Linked DNA regions of Alligator mississippiensis. The protein of the gene in region 2 purifies or fractionates together with the protein of the main gene of each other region. This does not show direct contact. Links are inferred from orthologs where the notes say so. Each region holds a gene or a part of one and is shown on either strand. Other genes may lie near its edges.

Evidence for each region. Proteins that work in one complex are often made in the same cells at the same time.
Region 1: the proteins of AXIN1 (region 2) and GSK3A purify together in Homo sapiens (affinity purification with mass spectrometry; 12 studies listed by BioGRID and IntAct, with this or other methods). This does not show direct contact. The link is inferred for Alligator mississippiensis from reciprocal best matches to the Homo sapiens genes AXIN1 and GSK3A.
Region 3: the proteins of AXIN1 (region 2) and DVL3 purify together in Homo sapiens (affinity purification with western blotting; 3 studies listed by BioGRID and IntAct, with this or other methods). This does not show direct contact. The link is inferred for Alligator mississippiensis from reciprocal best matches to the Homo sapiens genes AXIN1 and DVL3.

The regions. Positions count from the first base shown.
Region 1 is NC_081838.1:30,772,722-30,780,531, forward strand, and holds the start of GSK3A (glycogen synthase kinase-3 alpha), read right to left. Parts: upstream 3,007-7,810; 5' UTR 2,992-3,006; coding exon 2,742-2,991; intron 2,035-2,741; coding exon 1,847-2,034; intron 1,768-1,846; coding exon 1,684-1,767; intron 1,319-1,683; coding exon 1,208-1,318; intron 1,127-1,207; coding exon 996-1,126; intron 791-995; coding exon 684-790; intron 609-683; coding exon 511-608; intron 1-510. Other genes in the region: ETS domain-containing transcription factor ERF, read right to left, coding at 5,007-6,061, 6,367-6,482, 6,663-6,897. UniProt on the Homo sapiens protein: Constitutively active protein kinase that acts as a negative regulator in the hormonal control of glucose homeostasis, Wnt signaling and regulation of transcription factors and microtubules, by phosphorylating and inactivating glycogen synthase (GYS1 or GYS2), CTNNB1/beta-catenin, APC and AXIN1.
Region 2 is NC_081836.1:22,316,802-22,324,603, reverse strand, and holds the start of AXIN1 (axin-1), read right to left. Parts: upstream 3,014-7,802; 5' UTR 2,800-3,013; intron 216-2,799; 5' UTR 130-215; coding exon 1-129. UniProt on the Homo sapiens protein: Component of the beta-catenin destruction complex required for regulating CTNNB1 levels through phosphorylation and ubiquitination, and modulating Wnt-signaling.
Region 3 is NC_081830.1:83,882,425-83,890,192, reverse strand, and holds the start of DVL3 (segment polarity protein dishevelled homolog DVL-3), read left to right. Parts: upstream 1-4,762; 5' UTR 4,763-4,833; coding exon 4,834-5,000; intron 5,001-7,768. UniProt on the Homo sapiens protein: Involved in the signal transduction pathway mediated by multiple Wnt genes.

The sequences.
Region 1 (7,810 bases), on a different chromosome or scaffold from region 2:
CAGGAAAACAGGCAGCTAGGAGCCTGAATGCCTGGGTTCCAGGGACCCAGATGCCTGGGTTCCCTCTCTGCTCTTGGAAAGGAACGGGGTCCAGGTTGGTATCCCAGATACCTGGGTTCTGGGAAAGGAATGGGGACCTGGACTCCTGGGTTCTCTTTCTGTTCTTGGAAAGGAATAGGCTTTGGAAGGACGGGCAACTAAAAACTCCAGACACGGGTTTTCTCTTTGCTTTTTGAAAGAAACAAGGTCCACAACAGGCAGCTGGGAGTCTGGACTCCTGGGATCCAGGAAGGGAACGGGGACCCAGATGCCTGGGTTCTCCTTTTACTCTTGGAAAGGAACAGGGCCCAGGAGAACGGGCAGCTGGGCCTGGATTCCTGGGTTCTGGGAGGGAAATGGCGAGCAAGATGCTTGGGTTCTTTCTGTTCTTGGAAAGGAATGGGCTTGAAAGGATGAGCACCTGGGTACTGGCAGTGCAACAGGACCCGGATGCCTCAGTTCTCCACCTACCTTGATGATCTCCACCAGCTGGTCTACACCGCTGTCCCCAGGAAAAATGGGCTGCCCCAGCAGCAGCTCGGCCAGCACGCAGCCCGCCGACCAGATATCTGTGGACAGGGCAGGGTATCAGGATGCCTGGATTCCCAGCCCGGCAGGCAGGGGCAGGATGGGGGTGCTCTTACCTATGTTGGACGTGTAGTCGGTGGCACCAAAGATGAGCTCGGGGGCCCGGTAGTAGCGGGAGCAGATGTATGAGACATTGGGCTCGCCCCGCACCAACTGCTTGGCACTGCGGGAGAATCGGGGCCATGAGCCAGAGCACAAGGGCCCAGCCACAGCCTTGCACAGGGGCCCAGCCACGGGGAGCAGAGGGAGGCAACCCACTGGCCTGGCTCTCATACCACCTCTGACATGATAGGGGAGGAACCCTTGCACAAGGGGCTGGGCACGAGTGTCAGTGGGGAGTAACCCTCGCACAAAGGGCTGGGCGTCACCTGCCGAAGTCGCAGAGCTTGAGCACAGCCGTGTCAGGGTCAACCAGCAGATTCTGGGGCTTGATGTCGCGGTGGCAGACACCCTGTGAGTGGATGTAGGCCAGACTGCGGAACAGCTGGTACATGTAGACCTGTGGGCACCAGGGGATGGGCGGTCAGCACAGCGAGGGGGGGCAAGGAGTTTCTCCCCACATCCCCTGACCCCACCTTACCTTGACATAGATGACCGGGATGGTCTGCTTGGCCTTGGAGAAGTGCCGGGCCACGCGGTACACCGTCTCCGGCACGAAATCCAGCACCAGGTTCAAATAAACCTCGTCCTTCTAGGAGGACAGGGGGTGAGACCCCCTGGGATGCCCCCACCACCACCACCCCTGTGCATCCCTAGCTGAGCAACATGGCTCCCCAGAGCCCTCCAAGGACCCCGGGTCTCCTCCACAGTCCCCCGCTCCCCTGACAATTCTGGCTCACCCTGCCCCAAAAATCCTGACCCACTATACCCCAAACTGCCCCCCCCCGCTGACAAGTCCCAAACTGCTCCCCAGCCCATGACAGTCCCAGCCCCACCCCCGCCCCAAACTGCCCCAGGGCCCATTGATAGTCCCAACCCACCCTACACCAAATTGCCGCCCCTGCTCATGACAGTCCTGCCCCTCCCTCCCCAGGCTGTCCCCCCCAGCACCCCCACCTTCTCCCCGCTGGAGTAGAAGAAATAGCGCAGCCGCACAATGTTGCAGTGGTCCAGCTTCCGCATGATCTGCAGCTCCCGGTTCTGGTGGGGGGGCAAAGAGTCAGGGTGAGTGGGGGGTCCCAGGGGTGGGGGGAAGGGAGTCCCCTGCCCCATGCCTGACCTTGAAGCGCTTGTCCTGCAGCACTTTCTTGATGGCGACGAGCTCACCTGAGCCGGCCAGGCGTGCCTGGTACACAACACCAAAGGACCCGTTGCCGATCACCTTGATGTCAGAGTAGGAGACCTCCTGCGGGCGGTCAGGGCCCTGCCCCGGTGTTGCCACCACTGTGCTCAGCTTCCCGCTGTCCCCTATGTAGGGAGGCACAGGGTCAGGGGTGCGAGGGCTGAGACCTGCCACCCCCCCAGGTGGGTGTGAACCCCACGTGGGAGCATGCATTGTTGCCCCCCCCATAAAACTCTAGCCTGTCTTCCCAGCCAGCCCCATCCCCCGCCCCAATAAGGACACTGGAGAACCCTCTAAAGCCCCCCCACCAATTGGGCACCTTTAGACCATAACCCCCAAACCCTAGGAAACACGAAGCCCCCCAACCCTGACCCAGTGCAGGGGGGGACCCCCCAGGACCTGTTGCTCATAGAGAAACCTCCTCAAATCGCTCTGGAAGCCCCCCCACAGGGAGCATTCCCCCAGCCTAAACCCCAAGGCCCTGGGCTCCTCCCCCAAAGAACCCCTCCCTCCCAGCCCCGAACCCCTAACCCATGGGGACCCCCCAGCCCTGCCCCTCCTGCCTCCCTGACCCCCCTAAACCCATAGGGACCCTTCCACCCCCTCCCCCAGGTCGAGGGACCCAGCCCCCCCACCCTGAGCCTCCAAGATCTAGGGGACCCCCCAGCCCAGCGCCTGCCCCCCAACCCCTAAGAACCCCCCCTGGCGCCCTCCCCCAGGTCTAGGGGAAACAGCCCCACCCCCAAGCCCCCCAAAATCCATGGGGAACCCGCCCGCCCCCAGGCCCAGGAGCCCCCAGCCCCATGGGAGCTCCCGCCCCGCCGCCACTCACGGCCCAGCTTCACCCCCGCGGGGAAGGCGCCCCCGCCCCCCCCCGGCCCGGGCCCGGCCTTGCCCCCCCCCGCAGCGGCCGGGATCGGGGCCGCGGGGGGCGGGGCGGCGTCGGCGAAGGAGCCGGCGCGCGGGCGGGACGGGCCGGCGCTACCGCTGCTCATGGCGAGGCCGGAGCGACTGCGGCGCCTCCAGCCGCCGGCCCGGCCCCGCCCCGCCCCGCGCGGGGGCCGCCGGGAAAGCGAGTCCATCCGGCCCCGGAAGCGCCGGCGGGAAAGGGCGGGGCAACAAATGGCGCAGGCGCGGGCGGGGCCGGCCGGGAAATGGAGTCCCTGAGAGGGAGGGAATGAGGCATCTGCACATGCGCGCGAGGGGAGTGATGGGAGAATGAGGCAGGGGGCGGAAGGAAATGGACTCGCGTAGATAGGAGTATCTGTGCATGACGGGAAATGGAGTCCGGCAGGTAGAAAAGGAGGAGGTGTGCGCATGTGTCCGAGGGGCGTGATGGCGGAGTGAAGCCGGGGGACGCTGGGAAATGGAGTCCCGCAGGTCGGAGGGGTAGATACCATGTACGCCTGTGAGTGACTGGAAATGGGCTGCGGAGGGTGTGGAGGTCTGCGCATGCACTGGAGAGATGTGACCGGAAACCGAGGTGGGCATGCCGCGAGGGATTCCGGTAAATGGAGTCTGGGAGCGTGTGGGGGGGGGGTGTAGGCGTCTGCAAGGACTGACAGGAAATGGAGACTGGGAAATAGGGTGTCTGCGCAGGAACCCTCGTGAGCTGCCAGTGACGTCACGTGCTGCCGCGGGGGCCGACGGGAAAGCGAGGAGGCAAAATGGAGAGGCTCCGAGCACGCAGCGCGCGAGAGCCGCAAGGGGTGGCGGGAAGGGGAGTCCAGCCGCTTCCCGAAGGGGGCTGCAGCTCCCAGCTTGCACGGCGCGACGAGGGAAATGTAGTCCCAGCTGTTGTGGGGGGTTGACTACGTCTCCCAAGAGGCATTGCGTGAGGACGGAGCGACGCGAGGCGTCCCCGCTCCCTTGCTCTGCGCGCTCCCCGGGCGCGCCGCTCCTCCTCCCGTCTCCGTGTCCTCCCGCAAAGCGCGGCCGGAGTGAGGGGTACCGGCGGGGGGAACGCCCACCGCGGCTTCCCGCCCCGCCCCCAGCTTCCCCGCAGGGAGGATGTGGCGGGGCAGGGCGGGCCCCGGACGCTCTGGCTTGGGGCAGTGCCAGAGCCGGGGGAGGGCTGTGCACCTAGAGCGGGGCACACCTGGCTTCTCCCTACGGCACCAGGGCAGTGAGGACTGGTGGTCAGAGCCGCCTCCCACAGCCCGGGCCCAGCTGCAGCTTCTCCTTCCTGGGTGGGCTGTCCAGCGCCCGGGCCCCGCCAGGCAGGAAGGGGTTAATGCAGCCGGACTCCGCCCCGGGCTGGGCGCCCCCCCGCCCCGCGGCCCCCCCAGCACCACCCGTACCGGAAGTCTCCAAATCACTGTTTATTGGTTATTTTTCGCGGGTTTTATACATTCGTAAAAGAAGCCGCGGCCGGTTCTGTACAACAAGGTCACTAAGGTGGGGGGTCCCCGCTGCCCCCCAGATGAGGGGGGATCTCCACCCCGGGCGGGAGAACCCGGGGGGTGTCAATGGCTTCTCTGTTCCTAGGGGGGCAAGATGGGGGCGGGGGGCAAGGGAAGAAGTCACTTCAGGTCCCCCCCAGGGTGTGTGGGGGGGGGGGTGGCACGGCCCCCTGGACCCAGCACAGCACAGGCACTTGCAACAGCCCTGAAAGCCCCGGGGGGGGTAGGGGGGCCACGGCCCGGCCCCAGGGGCAGATTTTTGGTTTCCAGCAGGGAACCCCGAGATCAATAGTGGGGGGGGGGGGAGATGTAAGGGGGTGGAGCCCAGCCCACAACCCCCCAGGCCTTGCAGACCCGAGAGGGGCACATGGCCCCCCCTGCAGAAAAGGGGCCTGACGGGGGGGGGGGGGGGGGGGGGGGGGAGAGGAAATTGCTTCTTGTGCTTCCAAAAAAGGCCGGGGGGGGGGGCCAGGACCCCCTAAAACAAGGCAGCAAGTTCACTATAAACAAAGGGGGGGCAGTCCCCATGCAGGGGGGGGGGGGGGGGCTGAAAAATAGGAGATATCTATAGGTATTTATATATGTATAGGCATAGAGGTCCCCGATGTGCCCCCCAACCCCCCCAGTAATGGTGAGAGGGGTATAAAGGCTCCCCCCCAGCACAGGGTGGGGCAATAAGGCAGTGAGGAGGGGGTCTAGCAGTCCCGGTTCTCCAGGGAGAGCTGGGCTGTGGCAAGCTGCAGCTCAGGCCCTGGCTCGGCCTTGGCCTTCTTGTCATCGGCAGGGGTGGGCGCGGAGGCCTCAAGGCGCCGGTCCTCGCTCCAGCGCCGCTTGAAGCGCAGCTTAGGGGGTGCAGCAGCAGCAGGTGTGGGGGGTGGCAGTGGGGCGGGTGGCTCAGGGGCGGGCGGCGCCTTGAACACATCCTCATCATCCTCGCTCAGGTCCGTCACCTCCACCGTCTCCTCCTCTGAGTCGCCCTCGGACACCGGCTCCACTTTGATGCGTGGCGGTGGCTGGGTTGGTGCCGGGACAGGCTCGGACAGAGCAGTAGAAGCCTTGCGGCGCCCAGGGGGTGGTGGCTGCAGCTTGAACTTGAAGGGGGCAGCGCCAGGAGGCTCATCTGGGGGCTTTTCAGGGCGCTGGGGCTGGGGCACCACCAGGCCAGGGTAGTGCAGGAAGGCGCGGGGGCTGAGGTGGTAGTTGTACACGCTCTGCGTGTGCGCCTGCAGGTAGCGCTTCATGTCCTCCGGGCTGAAGGAGAAGTGGGACCCGCCGGGGAACATGGGGCTGAGGGTGGGTGAGGGTGTGAACGGCACATGCCCAGGCGTCAGGGGCAAGGCAGGTGAGAGCTGTGGGGGCAGTAGGGCGCCTGGCCCAGCCAACGGCGACACAGGGAAGGGGCTGAGGGGCTCGGGAGCGCGGGGCGGTGGGCGGGGGTACACGCGGAACAGCCCCTCAGGTGCCAGGCGAGGGTGGGTGGGCAGTGGGGGACCCCCACGGAAGGGGTCGGGGCCAGGTGGGCGGCGTGGGTCCTCGCCCAGAGGCTCCTCCAGCTCCGAGGCGGCCGAGGCGGCATCACTGCAGTCGCTGACTGAGCCGCGGGCCAGGCGCCGTGCCACGGCCGCAAAGACACCCGGTGAGCGCGGGGCCTCTGGACCTGGTGACAACACTTCACCTGGCGTGGCTGGCGGGAACCGGAAGTGCGAGGCACCCGACGGCACTGGCGGCGCGCTCTGTGGCACAGGCCCACCTGCAGGCACACAGCTGCAGTGAGCTAGGGCACAACCCCTCACTCGTGACCTGCTGGTGCCTGCTCCCTACCCAGTGCCCTTCACTTCAGCCCTGCAGCTCCTCTGGTGCCCCTCAGTCCCAACCTGCCACCCCCTGCTCCCCTCCAGTGCCCTTCACTCTTAACTTGCAGCCCTTTGCCCCCTCACTCCCAGCCTGCCCCACCCAGTGCTCCTCACTCCTGACCCACAACCCCCCTGCTCCCACCCCTGGTGCCCCTCACTCCCAGCCCACCGCCCCCTGTACGCCTCTGGCCCCCCCGCTCACCGGCCATGCCCATGTCGATGAAGGGGTAGTTGACCAGCACCAGCTTGTTGAAGTTGAACTTGTAGGTGAAGCGTTTGCCCTTGGTTTTGTGCAGGATGCGCTTGTTGTAGTAGTACCTGGGAGGAGGGCAGACCAGGGGTCAGCACCACAACCACACCCAAACCCCAGGGACCTCAGCCAGCCCAGTGAGTTGGGGCACATGGGGTGCCTGGGTTCTCCAAGTCAGCTGTGGGGGCTGGGGGGCTACAGCACAGGGATCCCGGGGAGCTGGGACACCTGGGTTCTCCCCCACTCACCGCAGCGCCCGGCTGAGCTTGTCGTAGTTCATCTGGGGCTTGCACTTGCGCACGCCCCACAGCCGCGCCACCTCGTCCGGGTCTTTGATGACGAACTCGCCATAGTCGCCCTGCCAGGCGATGACATCGTGGTACTCCTCCTTGCGCAGCAGCTCCAGGATGAAGTGCCACAGCTGGATCTGCCGCGAGCCCGGGCTCGACTCTGGCTTGTAGGCCCAGTCCGGGAAGGCGAAGCCTGGGAGGCAGCGGGGGTCAGGTAGAGGCTGCTGGCCCTTTAAGGGCTATTCCCAGAGAGGTCAAAGTCACCCCCCAGGGGCAGACTTGGATGCCTAGGTTCTGGGTTCTGCATGGGCACGGGAGCCGAAGGGTTAACCCCCCCAGGTCCCCACAAGGTGTGCACATCACCCCCACCTGGGGGGCAACAGGAAACCGGTTTAACTGAGCCCAGGGCCAGTGCCAAGCCACCCACCCTCCCCCCCCACAGAAGAGCTGGTGCCCCTCACTCCTGACCCCCAGCCCCACTAGTGCCCCTCATTCCCAACCCGCAGCCCCCCCAGACTAAACTGGTGCCCCTCACTCCCAACCCACAGCTCCCCCCAAAAGAGCTGGTGCCCCTCGCTCCCAACCCGCAGCACCCCCCTCCTGACCCAGTGTCCCCAGACCCAAGGCGCGCCCCCCCCAGTGGTCCCCAACCCCGCTGGCGGGGGTGGGGTGGGGGGTGGGCAGGGGGAGCGGGCGGGTGGGATGGTTGCCGGCTGAGGTCACCGCCTCCCAGACAAGGAGCCTTTTCTCTGCGCCAGGCGCCCGCCCAACCCCGGCCACATTCCTGGGGGGGGGCGGGGGAGAGGGGCTGGGCCTAGCCTGCAGCCTGGGACCCCCCCTTACCAATGCACACAGCCCCCTGGGATCCCCAGCGGAGCCCCCCCCACCCCAGGGGCATGTCTCTGTGGACACACCAAGTTTTGGGGCACCCAGCCCCCCCCATCCACAGGAAGCTGGGAACTACCATTTTCCAGAAGGCCAATCAGCCACCTAACCCACCTCCCTTGACCCATCTTGATGCCCCACCTTGGAGCCCCTTGGACCCCCCCCTTGGAGCCTGATGCCCCCTATGTCAGGAGGGTACGGGGGGGGGGGCAAGTGCCATC
Region 2 (7,802 bases):
ACCATGGCTAATTGGCCTTGGATCTGTGGCAACTAGTTCACCTTCCTCACCAGGGACTGGTGGCCTTGGAGCATCTTCAGTAAAGCTTCCCCCAAGATCCAAAGGGAAACTTTTCCCCTGGACATTCATGTTTGTTTACATGCACAGGAACAAGGACAGAACAGCCTAAGTCTCAAATCCCCACTGTTTGTATTTCCAACATGAACGTGTTTATCCTGGTGAAATAAATGAGAACAAAGTTAAGAGATATTGCATATTCTAAGAGATATCCTAAGAGTCTGGAATGGCTATTTCTGCTTCACAGGATTATGTTCCTAGTCTTCCTCTTGGTACAGTATTCCAGTACTCCTGAATTTCTTATTATTGAGTTATCCAAATTTTAAAACCACCATGAACAATCCTCAAACATGGTTGTAGATAATTATGTAAATGGGACACTCAATTCACTTTTTCAGTGTGCATATTTCATTATGAAGTTTAAATTAGAAAAAAATATAGTGTTTAGTCATGCAAAAATAAAACACCAGGTAAATTCATGTCTCCAGAATGGTTTGGAATTTCTTTTGGGGCACATGGGACGATTCTGAATGTATTTCCATTTGGCACTTAAGCCAGGAATATAACTTAATCAAGTGTAGACAGCCTTCAATACAATCAGTTGTACTTACAATATGAACTGCCTCTACAGTCCAGCAGTTTTTGAAATGCGCTGCATCATCTTATCACATTAATCAATAAGCAATTTGAGTGGTACGAATATTTGTGGCACCAGAATAATTATACCAGAGCCTTTAATAAAATTAAAATCCTAATATGCTGTCAATTCTAGATATTTTACATGGTATCTAAATTAAACTTTTGCAACAAATGAGTATATTCTTATAAGAACTACTAATCTTTTCTTATATTACATGGAATGAAAGGTATTTATTGATGGTTCATTTAAATACTATTTGCTGCAGACCTGAGAAAAATTCAAATCATCACCTCAAGTTGTCTTGATGTTTAAATGTATCGTTTTTTTACATTTTCCAAAAACGTAATTTGAGAAAACATGGCATAGAGAAGATGTATGTCAAGACGTACATCAAGGTAACAATTTCAGGTGATGACTTGAAATTTTCTCAGGTCTGCAGCAAATAATATTTAAATGAAACATAAGTAAATACCTTTCATTTCATGTAATATAAGAAAAGATTAGTAGCTTTTTATAGGGAAGGAAGGAAAAGGATGGAGATATAAAAATGTAGATACCTACTTTGTATCAAGACAATACAATTTAAATCTTCAAAAAACACTAGTAATCGCAAAGACCTGAGTGCTATAAAGCTACAGCTGTCTAATAAATCACTTCTTCAAACAAAATCTTAATTGCACATGAAAATATACCAAGGAAACCATTCTGAAACAAGCCCCTCATGCAAAGATCACCTCCACAGATGAATAAGTCTTTCAGACACATTTCCATTTCCTTTGCTCTCAACTGGCCTTAAAAAAGAGAAGACTTCCTCAATGCCCTGAACATCCTAACAGAATAAAGTAGGAAACAACATAACAAACTAATTAATTTTTAATGTCTGAATAACTGCATGTTTCAGCTATACCTATCTGATCATGGGACCAAGCAATGTTTTTACAACTACTGGATTAAAACAAGCATGAACATTCAGTTGCTATTCTGAGGCTTTTCTTAACACCTGTAACCAAGTAGATCATTTCATGCTAGGCCATGTTTGTTGTAAATTTCTCACCCAGCACTAGAGCAACGGAGGTCACGGAATTAATTTGATTTTCACAACAAAGATATTCAACATAATGATATTGTAGCCATTTCATTCAGAGGTGAACATCACACTCCAGCTGACATAAGCCATGTTGCTCATTGTTGCAAAAACAAAACAAAAAAGGCTCTGTTCCTCACACCTGAAGAAGCACTTGGCATTTTACCTCTAGAGGATAAATAACATCAAAGGACTTCTGGAAATTGCCAGTATAGATGGATCAAAATAAATCAAGGAACATCAGATTAAAAAAGAGTACAAGCCAAGGCCCAGGTCCTGGAAACTGTTCTACACAGGTGCTGTGGTCTATCTGTTCCATTTACACCTGGGGGTGGAGGCCTCGGTGCACAAGATTCGCATTTCCACCACAGGACTTCATAGGCAATTATCATTCTCTGACAGCACTCATCCTGAAGTTCTCCCAACCAAGAGGTTTCCATGCACCATTTGGCGCTTAGCCTGCCTGCCTGTTTCCAGGTAGGTAGTTCCAGCAAAGGAACTACACATCGGACGCCGATGGGGGAGGGAGACGATGGTTATGCCCGAATAAACTGCTGTCTCTCCGGCCACTGACACAAGGGGAGCTAGCGGAGGGCGGCCGGGCTCAGGGCTGCGCACACCGCCGCGCCAGGCAAGTTCAGGGGGCGCGACGCAGAGCGGGGCAGAGCAGAGGCCGCGCGGCCCGGCTCCCTCGCCGCACGGGCCGACGCGCCGGCCCTGCAAGACCCCGGCGCCGAGCGGCGCCTCCAGCCCACAGGGCCACTCCCGGCCCCGACGCCGGCTCCCCACAGGCAGGCCGGGTCCCAGGGCCAAGCGCCTGCTCGGCCCGCTCCTTCCCGGCGGCGGCGCCCGAGTCCCCAGGCTCAGGGCGGCCTAGCGCCGGGCGCGGAGCGGCCCGCTGCCGCCAGCCCCGCGCCACAATGGGGCGGCTTGCGCGGCCCGGCCCCGCGGCCTCGGCGCTTGGAGCTGAGGGCCTGCGCTGCGCTCCGCAGCTACCTCCCGCCCGCCGCTCACTCACCCGCTCGGAGCAGCAGCTGCAGCGACGCGGGGCCCGGCCCATGCGGCTCAACAGTGGCTGCAGCCCGGGGCCGCAGGCGGCGACGTCCGCGGGGAAGCAGCACAAAGCGGGCAGCCCGGGACCCCCATGGCCGCAGCCGCTTGCTCTGGCAGCGACACGGAGAGCAGCGAGCCCCGCGCCGCTCAGCTTGCGCCGCTGCCTCCCGGCGCCCGCGAGCGCTCCGCCGCGCCCCCCGCGCCCCCGCCCGGTACTGCGGCCTGCACCGCCGCGGGAAGGGAAGGGAAGGGAAGGTGCGAGGGGTGGGGGTGCGGGCGCGCGGCCCGAGCTGCGCGACCGCAGCTCCCGGGGCCAGCGCTGGCCTGGAAGGAGAAGGGTAGAGCCTGAGGCACCGGGGAGACCCAGCCCCAGGTCCGGAGGGAGCTGACTGACAAACACTGCTACGGAAACGCGGGCAGACGGCTCACTTGCGCAGCTGTGCTCTCTGATAGCGGCACTGAGGCGCTAAGAGGAACAGCTCTGACATTTGCACTGAAAGGGATTCCGTCTTCTTTTTCACACCTTAGCGAGCAAAATGCGGGCTCTAAATGTGCTCTGCCGAGACGAGGTCAGTTTCTGATATCATTTTTAAAAGAACAAAAAGTTCCTACGTTTTGCAGGAGAAACATTTAAAACTTCTCTTTTTTTAAATCTGTCCGTAATGGTTTTCTCCCTGTTCCCGGGTCTTGTAGCTAAGCAAACCCAAGTCACATGACCAACACTTGGCTAACACCTCAGACATAAACTACTTGAAAACTTAAAATGTAATTGCCCTCTTATTTTTCATAACCTAATCAATCTCCACAAAGAAATGTTAGGTCCATCAGCTTCTTCCTTTTTCTGATGCTAGTTGCAGTAGCTGCAAACTCTCTGTTTTAGATATCCTGGCCTTCAACTCTTTTCTGCCCCTTCAATCCTAGGCCTGTACAAAAGGTCTAGAAGTAAGAAGAAGTAGAGGCCATGCTGTCAACGCCCCCTGGGGATTGTAGTTTTCTCCCAACCATGGGCATCTCTGATGTGACTTGTGGTTTGGAGAAGGCACAGACCCATGCCTAGGGCCTGTTTCTGGAGCTACATGATTACACCAAAATGTCAGCTTTCATCAACATAAAAAGTAAACATCTATCATTCCTAGTTTGAAAACCTGACCAGCATAAGTGATACCTCCCCAAGTCTACGAAGAGCCCAGGCCATGAGCACGTGGATGGGTTATGCCACAAGAAGTCACATCCTGTGTTCAAAAAGCTGCAAACATGATGCAGTCCTTAAAGAGATGTGCCCCACCACCCCAAAATAGGCAGGGGCAATTTAATGACACATTTACAACCTGGGCTACTTGTCTCTGTGCAGCTGCCAGTGTGATTTGCTTCAACTATGTTTTCAACTTCTACTTTTCTTTCATACCCTATAACCTGGGGCAACAGCTGTGAGACAGAGTATTGCTCTCATACTGTGTTAGCTCCAAGATCCACCGTTCAGGGGGCTGGTGGGGTGAGGAGGTAGCTTACTACATTAGCAAATATACCACAGGTCCTGGGACAAGTACTTAGGGAGAGAACGGGGACCCATGCTGCTAGCACTGCCTTACTGGATGGGGCAGACATTACTGCCATACAAATGGAGGGTGGGACCAATGGGACCTCCCATTGACCTAGGATCCAGACTGCCTTTCCAACTCTGTCTGTCTGGGAACATGAGGAACCCGGTTGTATTAAAACTCAGTTGTCAGGATCCACAAAAGAAAGCACCTAGTCTTTAGGACAAAATAGGCAATGGTATAGGTCTCTTCAGAAGACAGGGCTGTTTGACACATATTGGGAACATGAGCCTTATGCTCACAGAGCAACAGTTCTCCCCCGCCCCCGTTAATAGAAGGGGCTATTGGGTATGTGTTAACTGAATTTGTGGGACAAAAGACAAAACAGGAACGGGAGTGAAGGTCAAATGTTCAGAGTAAATGCACCAAGGGGGCACACTAAGCAAGATGTGCTGGACAGTGCCCACTGGCCCTCATATGAGTCCAAGGAGCCAGCAGAGTAGATACTGCCCAGTGAAACTCTGCCTAGAGACCTGAATGGACCAGAAACAGGAAGATGTCCCTGCAGTCCCTGGGGGTCACCTCACCCAGAGCCTCCTTCCTGATCAAGTAGATTGCTAACTTGGCTAGGGCCAGGAGGAGGCTGACCAGTAGGTCCTGGGACTTGATGGGACCACAGATGAGGAGGGCATAAATGAAAAGGTGCAGGGAGTAGTGAGGGAGCAGGAGATTCTGGAGGAGGTGGTGAAGGGACTGCAGCCTGGTGCATTCAGGTTAGGCATGTCTCAGGGTCTCCCTCTGCTCACAGAAGGGGGAGGTGTCGGGGGTATGCATGAAGCATGTCAGGTACATGCCTGTGGCAACAGTTCCATGGAGGAGCCACCAGCTGAGATCCCCAGTGGCTCACAGGATCAGGCTGGAATAGAAGCTCGTCCATCAGGGATCCTTGTCCTCACTGAGGGTGTCTCACCACATAGTTTCTGGGCAGGACACAAGGACAGGACGATAAAGGGTGCAGACCACGAGTGTGTAGATGTGGTGGCAATGGGTTGCCCAGCCTTTAGATGTGTCATTCCAGATTGTGGGTCAAAGCCCACAAGTAAAGCTATAAGCCCCACTTGATTGGGGGGGGCACACTAAGGGCACATCGTGGATCTCTTGGGACAACTGAAAAACAAAACAGGGATGGGAGTGAAGGGCAGAAGATCAAAATGAGTGCACCAAGGGGGGACACTGAGCAGAGCACACCAGACAGTGCCTTGGTCCTTGAACAAGTCCAAGGAGCTAGTGGACACTGCCTAGTGAAATTGCCCGGAAACATGAATGGACTAGGGACAAGAAAGCAGCCCCATAGTCCCCAGGGGTCCTCCCAGCCAGAACCTCCTTCCTGGTCAGGAACATTGCCAGCTAAGCTGGGCCTGGAGGAGGTTGACCAGGAGGTCCTGGGACTTGGTGGGACCATGGATGGGGAGTGCATAAATGAAAAGATGCAGGGAATAGTGCAGCCAGGCCCTCAGCAGAGATTCTGAAGGAGGTGTTGGAAGGCCTGCAGCCTGGTGCACTCCAGATAGGCATGTGCCAGGGTCTCCCCCTGCTTCCTTTGCCTGCATTGGGGGTGTCTGTGAAGCATTACAGATGCTTACCTGTGGCAACAGCTCTGTCGAGGTTCCATCAGCTGAGGTCCCTGGTGGCTCATGGGATCAGGGTGCAATACAGACTCATCTGTAGGTGTGGTGGGGAGTTCCTTTTGGCCTGCCCAGCAGTGGTGACATGTAGGGGGTGCACAGGGGTGCATGTGCAGCCCCTGAGAGTGCTGGTGCACCCCCTGACAGCCACTGTTCCCCACTTAGGCGAAGGGCCGGGAGGGTGGGGGGGGCAGGTGAGAGCACTGCTGCCCCACTAAAAGTGTTGGCCGGGGATAGGTGTACCAAGAGGAGCGATCCCTGCGGTCCCTCCGTGGCCAATTGTGCTGACCCAGAAGTGCCAGCACGCTGCTGGCACTTTTGGGTCAGGGCGATTACCACCCCCGGTCACTGACTGGCTGCTGGGAAGGCAAGTGACCACCGTGACTCAGGAGGCACCAGTCACCTATGCTACCTAGGCAGGGATCCCACAATGAGTCCCAGGGGGCTAGGAGATGATTCCCTCATGCAGGACCTAGTCAATGTAGGCATTCAGCAGAAGACATGATAGAGATGCACCTTATAGAGTAACAAAATCAGACGTGCATAATAGGGCTGTGTGAAACAGTGCTGTTCTGCTTCGACTTTCGTTTCGACGTTTTGATGGCACAGTGTTTCATTTCAAGTCTTGTTTCATTTTGAAAGCACTGTTCCATTTTGTCAAAACTGTTTTGCTGTTTCGGTGCTGTTTTGACATTTCGCCCACCCAGTGCTGGGAAGATCAGTGCTGCTGCTGGCCCCAGCCGGCAGCACCAGCCTCCTATCATCCAGCAGACAGATCGGGGGCCTGCACTCCTGGGAGCAGTCCGGCACAGCCCCTGCAGCCCTCCCTCAAGTTTCGTTTAGTTTTGAAAGCACTGTTCCATTTCATAGAAACCATTCTGCTGTTCCGATGCTGTTTCGACGTTTTGCCCACCCAGTGCCGAGACGATCAGTGCTGCTGCTGGCCCCAGGTGGGAGCACCAGCCTCTGTCATCCAGCAGGCAGATCAGGGCTGCCCACACCCCCAGCATGGCTGCGGGGGCTGTGCTGGACTGCTTCCAGGTGTGCAGACCCCCAATCTGCCTCCCGGATCGCAGGAAGCTGGTGCTGCCGCCTGGGGCCAGCGGCAGGCAGGCCTGGGGCAAATCAGCTCGTGCAGGGACCTGACCCCACCCCAGGACCAGGTGGGGGCAGGACCCCACACAATCCGATTTGCACCGGGCTGCGCACCCTCCTCAGGCCAGCTCCAGTACGGGGTCCCAGGGATATCAGGGGGCTGATCAGGGTGGCAGCGGGTCTCTGCATGAACTGATATGCCCTGGGCCCCTACTGGAGCTGGCCAAAGGAGGGTGCGAGGCCCAGGGTAAATCGTGTGGGAACCCTCCCCAACTCTGGCATCAAGGTGGCAGCAGGTCCCCACATGAGCTGATTTGCCCTAGGCCTGCCTGCCACTGGCCCCATGTGGCAGCACCAGCCTCCTGTGATCCAGGAGGTAGATCGGGGCCGCCTGCACCCCTGGGAGCAGTCCGGCACAGCCGCCGCAGCCCTCCCGGGGGTGTGGGCAGGCCCCATCTGCCTGCTGGATGACAGGCGGCTGGTGTTGCTGGCTGGGGCCAGTGGTGAGCTGTGTCCAGAACCATCCCAGGTGGCAGGAACAGCCTCATGTGATTTGGGAGGCCGATCGGGTCCCCCCACACCCCCAGGACAGCTGCGGGGCTCTGCTGACTCCTCCCAGGGGTGCAGGGGGCCTGCCCTGATCGGCCTGC
Region 3 (7,768 bases), on a different chromosome or scaffold from region 2:
CTCCTGAGCTCTGTTCTAGTATGAAGTGAGGAAAGGGCTTTCCTTTTAAGTAGTAGTATTCTATTTTTGAGTCTCCCTACAAGATTTTTGTTCCACACACTCAGAGCAAGTGGGATTTTTTAATTTATTTATTTATTTATTGGAGGGAAGAAGAATGAAAGGTTCTCCAAGGGGTTGCCAACCTAGGAGTCCCAAGGTAAGTCTTGGGTGTGTAGCAGGAATGAAGGCGGCCTTTTTTTCAGCCCACCTCTACTGCACCATCTTCCCATGCTAGCAATAGAGCGCTGAAGAGCAGCATTTCTGTACATGTCACTGTGCTACTTTCCTACCTTGTTCTCCACCAAGAGCGGAGCAGAGAATCAGCTTACAATTGTCTGTAGATCATGTCGAACATGCTTACCTTGCCACTATCCCTTTAGGAAGAGGAGTGTTGAATAGATCCCTTGGGGAGATGCATTGGATCTGCTCACTTGGCATGTGTTCTGGGTCAGTGGTGCCACATGGATTTGTGGCAAGGCGCTGGTGGAGGGTGGGAATGCTGCCTCTTACACACGAGCACTGGGAAGGGGTGATCTTTGAGCGCTCAGCATATCTAGACTGTGCCTGAAGGCCCTTGGTTTCTGACACTGGAACGCAGTCTTGTAAACGTCGGGAAAATAGTCGGTATCTGAACTTTCTGTATCTGCCAATATTTAATTCAGGGAGCGATTAAAACCATCCTGGTATAAAGAATCAGCTGTTTGAGTATGTGTCTCTGAGCGTGGCATTACCTGTGAGTTCTGCTCTGATCTTGCTGGCTATAGACTTCTCCATAATAACCCATAGCTACCTTATTTCTCAGGAGTCCCCTGTGGTTCAGTGGTAGAATCCTTGTCTACCGCACAGGAGACCTGGGTTCAATTCCTAGATGCTCATGCAACTACAGTCATGGAGGCACCAAACATCTGGTCTTTGGATTTTGTCTCAGTGGCCTGAAGGGAGGATGGAAGGTCTGGGCAACCTCCACTCTTCCAAAAAAAATTCCTGCCCAAGCATATGCATCGAAGACCTGGGTGGCCCTCATGCATACACTGTGAATCCCGGAGGATCAACAGTTGCCACTTTATTTTTCAAAACGATCCAAAGTTGTGCTTATAACAGGCATAAAATGAGCACGCCGGTGGCATGGGGTAGGTGTTCAATCCTATCCAGCAGTGTTACCATTAGGAATTGCAAACGAGCTCACCCAGTTGAAACTCCGGCACTTTAGATTCCTGCAGTGGGTGAGGCTCCTGTTTATTCAGAACAAGTTAAAAGGATGTGCTTTAATCCTGGCCGAAGCATGATCCTCCCTGCCATACTGCGCATTAAAGTATGTCGTACGCCATACCCTGCTGGGGAAGAGGTGGGTAACAAACCCCTTTTTCAAAAGTGTTTACCAGCCAGCTGCGCGATTCAGGAGTTTGAAAATCTCCCTGGACATCTTGAGTATTTTTTAATTTTTTTTTTACAGGGTAAAGAAGGTTAAAAAGAAGGTTTCGTCTGTAATTCCGTAACTGGCTTGTTTTGGCCAGAGCCTCTGGAGTCTTTGTGCCAAGAAACAAACAATTCTGCTTTCTGTGTGTTCTGCATTCCACAGCCTGAGGTCTCTGCTCTCAAGTGGCCAAGATCTCCGTGTTGTGAGCCACCATCTGACCCGAGGGTTGCAGGCACATACCTAAGGTAGAGGTTCAAAGGGCTAAGAATGTCGCTACGTGAGGAAGCTTTGTCCTTCCCCCCAGAGTCTCTTCTGCATGGGGTCCCCCCCCTCCCACCGTGGCAATCTCTGGCTACGTTGCTCAGAACAGAGACCAAGTAGCATATTTGACACCCTCCAAGCCAGAGCTGTGGTGTGTTAAAATGGCTCAATGGCACATAAACATGTGTGTGTCTAGATGTATATAGACATACGTGTGTGCATCTATAGACACCTCTCTCTGTGTGCGTATGGAGAGTTGATGACAGCATTGAAGAGCGGGACAGGCCCAATGATCTGTATGGCTGATTCGGAAGTGAGTCGGATGGATGCAAACAGTGCTTTGGAGGAAGAAGCCTTGACACTGCAGTGAAACGTGCTGGGGTTTTTTTAAGACCAATGTGAGTGGTGGATCCCTGAGGGTTTTTTTAAGGCCAAAAGAGGCCAGTGCAGTCATCTAGTCTGACAGCCCATCTACAACAGATCAGAACTGACCTGCTGGGTCCTGTATCAGGCCCATGATTTCTGCTTGAAAGACAACGTATGTTTTAGACGGACATCCCTGCTTCGTTTAAAGAATTAAGTGCTGGAGCCTAAGCCTATTCACCTCACTGCATCTGGGACTGGGCTGAGCAGGTTTTTGTGCTGTGCTAAACATTTCATAGATTTTGTACATATCAGGGCTGGAAGGGACCTTGCGAGACTGTGGGGTCCAACCCCCCTGCCCAAGGGGAAGGAAGTCAACTGGGCTCAAATGATCTGAAATGCCTGAACCTAGCCTATAGCTGAGTGTAACGGCAGAAGCGGTCGTGCTCGGTGGTGCTGCAACATTTCTTAATGCAGGTACAAAGCTACAGCAGCGATTCTCCAGCGGGGTGTTGCAGCACCGGGGTACCTTGAGATCCTTGGAAGGTGGCGTGCCGTGCGATATTAGCGTTGGTGTGCAGACATGATTCACAAAATAGAGGTAGCAAACCGTGGTGGTCTGAAGTCAGGCAAAAGGCAGGATAGAGATGCACTTCATAGACTGACTAAACCGGAGTTGCATAAGCTTTCGTGAGTCAGCTCAGACTCGCACAAGCTTATGCATCTCCTGTTTAGTGTGTAAGGTGCATCCCTGCCCTGCCTTCACAGGATGAATGCAGAGATTTCAGATAGGAATTCATAATGTTGACACCACGCTGGCCTCGTGTGTCCGTTCTGAGTTCTTAGCAACAGAAAAACTGCACTTCTGTTTTTCCACAGTCAAAAAAAAAAGTGAAAACTAAAAACTGGCATTTTCTGAGGGGTGTCGGGGGTCTAAAAAGAGTGAGAACCACTGTCCGGTTGCATGGGGCTGCTTCGCCTAATCCTTTCCTGCCGGTTTCGTTGGCTCCTATCTCGGTGACTTTGCAAGACTTGCGGGCAGCGGAGTCTCTCTCTGTATTGGCTCTGTATTTAAGCACTCAAAAGCCACTGCCGTTGCATCTTGGTTAAGGATGCAACTTTCAGGGTTTTCGGTTGTAGTCGTGTTGGTCTAAGGACGCAGGCAGGCAAGGTTCATTGAGTGGATGTGATATCTTTTGTTGGAAAGAAGTTCTTTGCAAACTTTCAGGCACAAACACCCTTCTTCAGGCACGGGGGGCTCTGCTGGTCTGAGATCTCCAAGGAGTGAAAGTAGCTAAAAGCGTAACAGGATGTCAGTACGAGATTGCAAATAGGTGGGAATTACAATCCCGTACTGACATCCCGTCACACTTTTAGCTTCTTTCACTCCTTGGACATCTCAGACCTGCAGTCTCCCTCTGCCTGTTCTTTGCAAGCTTTTGGGTACCAACACCCTTCTTCAGGCACAGGGAGACCGCTGTTGTTTTGAGATCTCCAAGGAAATGCAAGCTTCTGCACTGGGGTGATGGAGGCGAGCCAAAAGCCTGTGGCTGTCACATTGCCTGCCTTGCACCCAACTGCCCAGGCCCTGCTGGAAGGCACCGTGCAAGCCTGGGACAATGAAAGACTTGCTCTCTAGCTAGCAATAAAGGCTTCCAACGGGGCAGTGAAGTTTCCCCGCCTGTGCTGTGCACACGGAAGATCAGCCGTGGGATGAAAACGTCTCCTACTTGTCAGCAACCCCTCGATTCAAGGATGCTCACCGCCGTGGTTCGCTGGTGGGTCTTGAGGCAACTTGAGTTCAGTCATTGAGTGGCAGACCTGTCTACAGGAGCCGCTGGCTTTTCTGTTGGAGACAGTAGGCTGTAGGCCACAATTTCTCTCCTTTCCCTTCTGCTTTTTTCTCTGCTTCAAGGGCAGGACGCTTTACCTCGACACGGGCAGCCGCTCGGTTGAGGTTGCCGCGCCATGGGAGTCCCTCAGCAGCCAGCTCCTCCCGGGTCTTGATGTCGGCATGTTTTCTTGAGGTCCCTCTTCAGCGTGTCCTTGTGGCGTTTCCTCCGGCCGCCCCGACATCTCAGGCTGTTAGCGCTCGTTGCGGGAGTCGGTGCACATTCGCAAACCGTGTCCAGCTTGAGGGTCACGGGCAACACGGGCTTCGGCGAGGATGATGCATGCCGCGCTCTTCACGTCCACGGCGGGCATCTTCGTGTTGTGTCGGATGTGGGGGATCTTCGCGTTGTGTTGGCAGTGGGCGATGGTCGCGTTGTGTTGGAAGTGGGGGATTGTCGTGTGGTGTTGGCAGTGGGGGATTGTTGTCGTGCTGCGGGTGGGGACCTCCGTGCTGTGCGGGAGGTGGCGGACCGTGGTGTGGTGTGGTGTCGCGGCGGTGGAGGATGGTGGCGCCGGGCGGGTGGCGGGTGCCCTTCGTGTTGCGCGGGAGGTGGCGGATCGTGGGGTCGCGTCGCGTCGCGTGGGAGGATGGCGGGTGGGTGGAGGCCCTTGTCGCCGCGTGGCGGCGGGGCGGGGCGGGGCGGCGGCCGGCGGCGGCGGGGAACAAAGCGAGTCCGGCGCGGGGCTGGGGGCGGCGCTGCAGGCCCGGCGGGCGCGGGTGGGAGCGAGGGCCGGCGCGGCCGCTCGTGCTGGTCCCGCCCCGCGGAGGAGGCGGGGGAGGCGGAGCCGCGGCCGGAGCTTGCGCGGCGCCGGGAGCCGGGGCCGGAGCCCGAGCCGGGCCGGGCCGGGCCGGGGGCGCCATGGCGGCGGCCGAGACGAAGATCATCTACCACCTGGACGAGCAGGAGACGCCCTACCTGGTGAAGCTGCCGATCCCGGCCGAGCGCGTCACGCTGGGCGACTTCAAGGGGCTGCTGAACCGGCCCAACTACAAGTTCTACTTCAAGTCCATGGACGACGATTTCGGGTGAGCCCGAGCGGCCCGCGAACAAAGCCCGGGGCTGCGGCCTGTCCCGGCGGGGCCGGGCCTGCGGGCGCTGCGCATCCAGGACCCCGAGAAGCCGCCTCACTTCGCTGGCGGGGTCTCGCTCGGTGGCATCTCGGCGGCCCCAATCCCCGAGGGGCCGCGCTCCGCCACGGTGGCACGACCCCCGCGCGCGGGGCTGGCCGCGGCCCGTCCTGTGGGGTCGCCGTGAAGCCCCCCCTAAAGCGAGGGCAGCGGTAGACAGCGGGTGTGGGGAAGGGGCAGGCGGGTGGAGGTCCTGCTCTCCTTCAGCAGCTCGGGACACGCGCCGTGGCTTCGTAACGCGGCAGGGGAAATACCGTGCGTGTGCGTCTGCGTCCCCGACCCGGCCCGCGTGGCTCGGTAGCCGCCGGGCTGCAGGGGTTACGGGCGCGGGAGTCTCGTCCCCGGGGCCGCGCGGCTGCGGGCGAGCATCGAACCCCGCGCCTGCGGGCTTGGGCCTGCGCGTAGGACGCCCGCCAGAGGATTTGGGAACGTGTGAAGCCCCGGGTGCGGGCGGAGGATGTTTGCCGGTAGCAGGGACACGTCTCGCGTTTGGAATTAGCCTGGGCTGATTTGGCCGGTGATACAAATTAAATTAAAAAAAAAAATAATAGCTTCACGGATGGTCTAGAAAAGGAGGCATATGGCAGATGAATGAAATTTGCAGGTGAAGCAAAACTGGAAGGAGCTGCAGAAACCAGGGAGGGCAGGGAAACGAGACGGAGACTCGGCAAGATTAGGAACGGGCAGAAAACAATGAAATCGGATCCGGCATGGGCAAACGCAGATAATGCATCTGGGGAAAATAACCTTAACCCCTGGTCCTCCCAGAGAGGGAGAGAGTCAAGGAGCAGGCACGGATGAGGGGCACCAAGGCAGTGAGCGGCGCATCAGATGACGTCTGCGGTGTGATCTGGGTGGACTAAAGCGGGCAGTGTGGTTTTGTCCAGGTATCGCAGGCATGGAGGAAAGCCATGGTGGTCTGGAGCCGGGAGGGGAAGCTCCACCTGGAGGGGTGCATTTTGGAAACGAGCTGTGCAGAACAGAAGACCTACTCATTCAGAGAAGCGACAGGGGAACAAGCGGGGCAGAAGGAGACCGCCAGACCCATGCACCTGTGGGATCGTTTCCAGGGAGGGGGTGGGAACCCTCTTGCTTGAGGAGGTTTGGTGGCTAGCGGTGAAAAGCAAAACCAGAAACCATTGGGGACCAGTCTTGCGTTGGACTATGGAGAGCTAGAACTGAAGGGGTCTTCCTTCCCCAACCTAGATGGGGAGGCAGGATCATAACGTTTTGCGGAGATCTCGCAGCGACATTAAGAGTCGCTGCGGGAGTCACGGTGTATCTGCATGCGGTTGCAGCGCTTCGGTTCTTGCCGGGCAGTCTGCTGCTTTCCCCGAAGTGCCCCCTTCCCCAGCACCGCGTGGAGGGAGAACGTGGGAAAACGTCTCGAAAGGTGTTTGCGTCGAGGACCCCTTTGAGCAGCTGCAACGTTTCGTCCACCTGGAGGTCCCGTGGCAGCTGCCCGGAGAGAAAGTAGAAACTTTGGCCACTGATTTGAGAGCAAAGCTCCCCCAAACCTCGTGTGGGACGAGGCTGAGTTCTCTGCAGATCCATCGCTCGGGATGGAGGCGTTTTACCTTCTCCCAGAGGCAGCTTTTATCTGCTATAATAGAGCCCTGGCCTTTCTTCCCCAGTCCTCGGCCTGGGTCTGATTAATTATCTTGCCTTTCTCACTTTTCTCCAGGCTGGACAACTGGTCTGGTGTTCCTTTGGGAGCTCCCGTCAGCTCTTCCCATGCCCAGGGAGGCAGCGCGGCCGCCATCGCAGCCCGTGGGCTTTCCTTGCTGTTTCTCTCGTCCGTATTTGTTGGCTGCGAGAATCAGGGTAACAGCGATGCTGCTTCAGGCTTTACGTTTCCTTAGAAATATGCGCCAAGGCTTTGTTGAGTGTGGGGTGCGAGGCTGCTCAGGAAGCTAACGCTAGTCAAAGGGAAGGGTGCTCAGCCTTGACCCGTGGACCCCAAAGTGGTGTCTCTTGTAGAAAAGAAACCCAAGAAAACAATTGCCTGATAAACTGTGGGGAGGGGAGGTTTAAATAGAGAGGAGACGATGTGTTTCTTGAGCCCATCAGCGTGGCGTAAACGTGATTGTTCCCTGCCTGTTACCAAACTGTGGGGCAATGGCAGCAAGTCGTGGTGGAGTGGGTGTGAGCCCAGCGATCTGGTTTGCAGACTTTGTCTGCGTCTTCAGGAGTTGAATGACACTGCTCTCGGGTGTCCCCAGTGCTCCTGCCGGTCAGGGGGAGGATGGTCTTGGGGTGAAAGCACTAGGCTGGGGCTCATGCGGCCTGGGTCCCATTCCCAGCTCTGCTATACCTCTCCCAGGTGACTCCCTTTCTTGACCACTTAATTTCTCAATTCCTCTTCTATAAAATGGGACTTCAAGTACTTATTTTCTCCCATCTATTCCCTGAAGTCCTTAGACGGGTGGTTTTCAGCCTTTGCAGACTCGAGGCACCCTCTGGAAATTCCAGCTCTTCATTTTCAATCTTTTTTTTTGCCTAAAGAAAAATAATAAAGCAGTTTTTATGTTGCAAAGAACAGAGACAGCCCACAACTGCGGGTTTCAATTTGAAATCGCTGGGTTTATCTTGTGAATCATGTTTATAAACCTAACCGTGCTAACGTGGTATGGCACCCTGCCGCATCCTTGAAAGGTACCCAAGGG